Linked DNA regions of Styela clava. The protein of the gene in region 1 purifies or fractionates together with the protein of each later gene. This does not show direct contact. Links are inferred from orthologs where the notes say so. Each region holds a gene or a part of one and is shown in the gene's direction. Other genes may lie near its edges.

Region 1 (3,759 bases):
GGGAATTCGATATCCCACACCTGCAGACTTGTTACAAATCCTACTCTTTTTTTAAGGGTTGGTCGAACTTGCGATCTTGGCTGCCAAAGTTTTATTGTTTTTAATTGCAATGTGTAGCCTACTTTAAGGGTATTTGAAATAAATCACTATCTCTCCTCATTTGCCACATCTCTGTGCAACATGTCATAGACAAGGCTGCAAGGATTGAAATAAAATTCCATTGTTTTCATAACAGATTTTTATTAAGCAATGAAATGAATTTATTACGAACTGCAACCAGGAGGGCTTTGTTACTAGAACGCCTAGTTTTTGTCGAAAAACATTTGTTAAATCAGAAAAACTGGCTGGCAAAGTCAATACCAGCATGCAACTATGCGGAGAAAACATATACAAGAAAAGTGTTTCGACCGGCAATAGGAGATAATGATGTTGTTGAAATTGAAGAACAAGAAGTCGTAGACAAAAGAAAGACTGAAAGTGAAATTTATTTAGAGAGAAAAAAAGAAATTCATCAAAATAAAAAAAAAGTTCGAAAATTAACAAGAGTAGATAAAATGATTCTTGTTTTTGTTGGGAAGTTTGAAAATATGAAAGATGTTCCCGATCAACTGACTTTTAAAACTCTTGAGAAAAAGCAAGAGGCTGATGCTGAAGTAAAACATCTCATGCTTGGAAGCGTTTTTAAATATGGATATTTTTTCGAGTATGCTTCTTTCTTCATGACTTTTTCTCTCCTGGGATATGCACTTTATTATTATAACAAACAAAAAGAAAGTGCGGAAACATCCACTAGCAAAAATGCTGATTCATGAAATTTTATGTCACTACGTTGGAAGTAGTCTCTCATAAGCTCAGAGCATATACTCCGAATCTGACTCAAGAGCAATTAAAAAAAAATTGACTTTGTTAAAGCTGAACTGTGAAAAAGGAAAGTTAAAGTATCATTTCTGTGCACATAAACGATTAATGTTAGTTTCACCAATTTTTATCATTATTTGACAACACCTATAAAATGTGAAATAATAAGATAAACTGTATTGAATTTTTCAGATATTTATTATAATGTATAGGTGGTACCTTAATTGGTTTAAATTCTTGCTAGATTATAACTGTCTGTTATAAAAGAATAACCTTTGTCATATTGGTTTTTGTTTGGTAAAATTATACATTAATGAATTTGATATATTTTTGTTTCATGATAATTTGTATATCTTTAAAAAACAGCTACACTTTTTGTGTCGTAGTTTTGTAAATACAACAATGGATTTGGACATTGACACACACAAAGGGACAATATATGGTATGAAAAATGTCAACTGTTAGTCGTTTATGCCAGGGCTGTAAGGTCTGACAAAATTTACAAGCTCCAGGCTGAAGTAAATCGTCGATTCGATGTTAAGAAGAATTTTGACTGCCAATTCTATGTGTTAAAAAATTTTGACTACAGCTTCGAGCAATGATTCTAGTAAATTTTTTTTTATTCTTGTAGTTCCCAGGCCTTTAGTGGTCGATGTTAAATTCGTTTAGAAATCAATCTTCTTTATTTCTAAACGAGTGAACATGACTTTACTCTAAGAAAGTTCTTTCAAAAAAAAAAAAATAGTATACCGATGTTGTATTCATCATTTTTCAGTGCTCCCGTAGTATGTGAACCAAGATGGCAGACACCGAAACGTAGTATATGTACCAGGTTAGAGTTAGGCCATAATTTTATTCTAATTTTCCTCATTTTAGTTCTATTACGAGTTCAAGGACTAGCCAAATGACTCCTGCAGTATTTGTACTTGAAATTATGGTCTGACCCAGTACATATACTACGTTCCAGAGTCCGCCATCTTGGTTCACATACTACATGAGTACCCATTTTTCCACCAGTTAATGTTAATTGGAACCCTTTTTCAATGAAAACTCTGGGATTACTAATTGTCACCTTTGTTATAGATCTTCTGCGAACAATAAAAGATCCTGAAAAACCTGGAACTTTAGAAGATTTAGATATTGTGTATGAAGAAGGTATCAGAGTAGAAACAGATGCTGATCAAGAACGATACTTCGTCGAAGTTGATTATAAGTCAGTATAGTTCTTGTATTATTCTTGCTATTGGGGTTAGTCATTTTCATTATAGCTGTTTTGTATTTTCACTGCCCTTGCGTATATGTCACTGGTGTGGGTAATCCAGTAGTGTGTGTACCATGTTAGGGTTAGGCCATATTTTTATTCCGATTATTTTAGTTCTTTTACGAGTTCGGAGACTGTCTGTTTTAGACAAGTAAATAAAGCCCCTGATTTCAGTTCCTTTACACAACTTGATATAAAATGGGCGAATAATATTAGTTACCTCCACTTCTGGAGCGCCCTGGTGTGTAATATCGCAATGCTTCCACGTTCGTTTTGTGAGAATTTCATCTTGGTTTTCACTTATATTCAATGTCACAAGATGATGTGGGGCTGTGGGCATGAAGTACTTTTAAGTTTTTTTTTGTGTCCTGTGCCTTAAAACATAACAGAGTTTAAAATGGATTCTTACCTTATTAATGCTGGGGTGTGCGTCATGCTTAGAGTTTAGAAAAAGCTTGTCATTGCATCACTTTTTGATCCTCTGACGGTTCATTGTGTATTAGGTGAGAATATAAGTCAGGAAACATGGTGACCTTCTTTCTAATAAGATGTTAAGCTAGGAAGAATTATGTGTGGCTAGAGGAAAGTCGATAGGACTGCTTAATCATATGGCGACCCACAGTTGTCCGGTTACCAGACCATGTCGGGTATGGAATCACTTAGCCATTTATTTGTTGTCGGAAGCATGGACTTGATGGTGGAGTAAGCTGTAACTGACCAGTAGTTACATGAACCGCCCTTTGACGGTGAGGAGTCCATCCTCTCGCATATAAGTTAACCATCCTTGCATGCAAGCATATTCCTGACACTTACTGAACTGGTGATGCAGCATCCTGAATGAACAATCTTAACAGCATTAATATTCAATATTGCAGACCTACGATTCCCCATTGTTCACTTGCTACACTTATTGGACTATGCATGAGAGTTAAATTAGAGAGAAATCTTCCAACCAATCATAAAATATCTATCAATGTTGCTGAAGGCACACACAACACTCGTGACGAAAGTAAGTGAATTCTCGAGGAGCAGTACAATTTTTTATACTGTGCTTATATGTGTAGTGTTTCGCCCCCATCTGCAAAGTTCCCTAACTTGCTAAGCTTTCCCCGAAACATCACACAATGTTTGCACCCAAAATAAGAGGCTTTTACTGCTACGATTCAGTATGCACAAAAGTAACTAATACAACTTGAACAAACGGCAAATGAGAATATCGGTCAGAGACCGAAGACTTATCGATCGAAAGTTAGGGGATCCCCCAAAACAGCGCTCTTACTCCATAGTAACACCTGGTGTTCCATCATTAATTAATTAATATCTCGCTAATTATACGACATAATTCATCCAAAATCAATATGAATGCACATGCAAAATCTGGAGCAGATTCAATCTCGCTTTCGTGAGATATCGCGTGCATCTAACAGACAGATACTTATCAACATGTTTACCGATTAAAATCGATAAGTAATAACCATACATCAGGCTGCCTAACTGCTGGGTCCACACTTTTGTGTTAGCTGAAGCATGGTGCTTATTTGACACAGTGCTTTTGAACAACAGTTGGCCCATTATGCTAAGAGTTAAGAACCCCAAACACACTGCGGCAAATCTTTATGTACCGGAGGATTTCTGGACTC
Region 2 (3,759 bases), on another chromosome or scaffold:
AATTTAAGATTTGGTTTAAATTCGTATTTCAGTATTTAGGAATAATCCAAATTTTAGGCAAACACTATAAACCAATGAAACACCACTGCAATAAATACGCATATGAAAATGAGATGCTAGTATTTTATGTTCCATTAATTCCCTAAGTTCTGTAGTATAGTAGTAATCTCTGCTAGTTAAATCACGATGAAATGATAAAGACAGAAGCGTAAATGAGATCCTAATTACTTTTTGCAATTTTTTTTCCTAAAATGTGTTGAACCCAGTAATAAGAAAACAATATTCATCATATCAAATTAAATGTTACCATCCAATATATTTTCCTTCCAGATATCAGTACGTCACATGATTTTAGCATCAGTGGTATCCATTCCAATTACAGAATTAAAACACAGCATCAAGCAATTAAAACATGCATTATCCATTTCAGCATTTTGATAGAATTAAAGATGTTTAAGTTATTAGAAAGGCAGAATCATAGGGATAGGATAGGATTTACATATTTATCCCGGGGGACCACGGCCTCTCGTCCGGTTACCATTCCAAGTCGGGTATGGGATTAGTTTTTACTGTATTGTTCGTTTTCGGAAGCATGGACTTGGTGGTGGAGGAAGCCGTAACCGACCAGCGGTTACGTGAACCACCCAACGACGGCGAGGAGTCCAGCAATCCTCTCGCACATAACCATCCCTTCATGGGATTTGAACCTGCGAACCCACGCAGAGTAATTAGAGGTGCGGTGTCGAGCGTATTCCTAACGCTTAGCCCGTTGAGCCACACCGTCATAAATTCAAAAGTTTTGAAATAGGCTACCAATTAGCAAAATTATCAATGATAGGTTTCTGGCTTTAGATGGGTAAATAAATGTCACTTTTTAGACCCCCTGATCTTCCAATTTCAATTCTGCACCCTATACCGGTAGATGTAGAGTAGAGTCTAAACTTTTTGTTTGCTGTCCTGTCCTATCTGTTACCGGTACAGTACTTTTAATTTTAGTACCGTACCAGACTGGATTCCATGGCAGATGCACGCCCGAGGGCGCTAGCGCTCCACAAAAATGCACGCGAGCGAATTCAATTTTGCACGCCGAAAATTTGCAATTGCTCACCAATGTAAATCGGTTTAGATAGTTTTTTAATCAATAATCTAGTAATATAAAGATGCCAAAAAATTATAACTTTACAATTGTCGACTAATACTTGCTTGCAAGATTTGGCCTGATCGAAAAATGCGAAGCAAAAATCACCATATCGTGTTGAATGATAGGAATTCCGTGAGAAAAATCGCCTCCTCACCGACGCTGGCCAGTTATGGCTCTGATTCAGCGTATTTTTAAAACAATAATTTTACACGGATGTACTGAACAGTACCGGTATCTAAAGTCGCACAAACACTCTCAAAATTAGTGACAAAATATAGAAATGATGTTTTGGGGGTCAAAGGTCAAACGTCCATTTTTTGCTATGATCCAACTCATTTTTACGCGGATGTATTGAGAGGTATCTTAGGTCGAAATCAGTTTAGCGGGCGCAGTTGTTTTGCACGCCGTGAACTATAATTGCACGCCAGAAATTCTTATTTGCACGCGGGAATTTCTGATTGCACGCCCGATTTCTCGTTCGAAAAGGCCATGAAATCCAGACTGGGTACCGTACTTGTTTTTATCAACTTTTATCATCTGTTATGCTCATTATGGCACTATGGAGTCGAAATAATCTTTAATCAATTATAAAACATTATTACCTAATTCTACAAGTTCTATTTCTTTGAGCAAAAGCAATCATATTGAAAAAAAATTGTCACGATACATTCAATATATTAAAATTAGTGTTAAGCGGATTCCTCCCCCGAAACCGCATCAATCTGTCTAAGTTACAACTTCTGTAATCTTGAGTGAAAATAAAATGACACGTTTCGCCATTCTTTGCTCTTTGTTGACATCTTACGCTTACGGTTATGACATCGCAAACCAAACATTCTTCAATATGTCTGAATGCAGGAATGTGGATGATTCTCGTTGCGTGTGAGTAAAGTAACTGAGGAACAATGGCTTCTAAGTTCAGTGGTGCTCTTCAGTTAACTGATTTGGATGACTTCATTGCACCATCGCAAGAATGTATCAAGCCGACACAGATTAAAAAGCCTTCAGTTGTATCGCTAAATAAAGGGATAAAGAAGAAATCAAAAATAAGGCTGGATGATGAAGGTAATTATGTTGATGCGGCAAATGAACAAATCAAAACTTTGCAGAAAGCTGAAGTATCTTTGAGTGATTGTTTGGCATGCAGTGGATGTGTTACATCTGCGGAGTCTATTCTTGTACAACAACATAGTTTTGAAGAGTTTTATAAGGTTGTTTTGTCGAATAAATCTGAAAATCATAAAAGATATATTGTTGTTTCAACGTCTCCCCAAAGCAGAGCATCTTTATCTGCTCATTATGGACTTAGTCTTGAAGAGACTGCACTATTTTTAAGTAATTTCTTCACTAAAATTGGTGCAAATTTAGTATTGGACACTGCATATTTTCGCCAATATGCACTTGATGAATGTAGGAAAGAATTTATTGAATCATTTCAAAACAATGCAAATTTGCCAATATTGACATCAGCATGTCCTGGCTTTATTTGCTATGCTGAAAAAACTCATGGTAAACTTGTGATTCCACATTTGAGTAAAGTGAAATCACCACAACAAATTGCAGGATCTTTAATCAAAAGTATAATTCCGAGTGTTTCCGAAAACTCACCAAGCTCGGTATATCATGTGACAGTAATGATGTGTTATGATAAGAAATTAGAAGCAACAAGAGAGGACTTTTATAATGATATTTATCGAAGTAAAGATGTTGACCTCGTTCTTGCAACAACCGAGGTTCAAACTATGATTGAAAAAGAATCCATCTCTCCTAAAGACCTATTATCATTGGATAACCATACCACTCCTGATGTTTCATCCATTCATAAAGAATTACGGAAAGCTTTGTTAGCTCCATCAAATCTTATTAGCAATGCTGGTGGTGGTTCGGGAGGATTTCTTGAATACATTTTCAGGTCAGCTGCTAAAGAACTTTTTAATAAGACTGTAGACAAGATCGAATACAAAACAATAAGAAACAATAAAGATTTCAGAGAAGTGATTCTTAATGATGATGATGGTAATGTTCTTCTACGCTTTGCATGTACATATGGATTTCGTAGCATTCAAAATTTGGTGCAAAAAATGAAAAGAAAAATGTGTAAATATCACTATGTAGAGGTTATGGCTTGTCCATCAGGTTGTCTCAATGGCGGTGGACAAATTAAAGATCCCAAACTGAGTAGAGATGAGCAAAAAGAACATCTTGCACTTATTCAGAAAAAATATGACGAAGTTGAACCTCAGACTGAACTCCATGATGTACCTTCTCTTGCTGATAAATTCTCTGCAAGTGATTTGGACATGATATTGTATACAAAATATCACGCATTAGAAACAGATAATGCGATAGGGCTGGGTATTAAATGGTGATGGAATGCTTTTAAATCTGATTTGTTATAATATGATTTCTTATAAATATAGAAACAGCGCAATACACATATTACTAACTCCATTAGTGCCTACTCGTTTGGATAAATATTCCAGCAATATGTGCAACCTTGTTTTCAACTATGTGAGCTGTGCTTTGAACATATACTGTAAAAAATATAGTATTGTTCTGTTTGCTAATCTAATTTTGTACATTATATTAGTTTTATAAATGTGCCATAGGCGATGCCA

What was found. Proteins that work in one complex are often made in the same cells at the same time.
Region 2: the proteins of cytosolic iron-sulfur assembly component 2A-like (region 1) and cytosolic Fe-S cluster assembly factor narfl-like purify together in Homo sapiens (affinity purification with mass spectrometry; 4 studies listed by BioGRID and IntAct, with this or other methods). This does not show direct contact. The link is inferred for Styela clava from reciprocal best matches to the Homo sapiens genes CIAO2A and CIAO3.

What each region holds. Positions count from the first base shown.
Region 1 is NC_135252.1:20,979,207-20,982,965, reverse strand, and holds the start of cytosolic iron-sulfur assembly component 2A-like, read left to right. Parts: upstream 1-1,122; 5' UTR 1,123-1,260; coding exon 1,261-1,300; intron 1,301-1,941; coding exon 1,942-2,071; intron 2,072-2,994; coding exon 2,995-3,128; intron 3,129-3,759. Other genes in the region: uncharacterized protein LOC144421077, read left to right, coding at 255-812. UniProt on the Homo sapiens protein: Component of the cytosolic iron-sulfur protein assembly (CIA) complex, a multiprotein complex that mediates the incorporation of iron-sulfur cluster into extramitochondrial Fe/S proteins.
Region 2 is NC_135251.1:30,001,212-30,004,970, forward strand, and holds the start of cytosolic Fe-S cluster assembly factor narfl-like, read left to right. Parts: upstream 1-1,500; 5' UTR 1,501-2,046; coding exon 2,047-3,510; 3' UTR 3,511-3,759.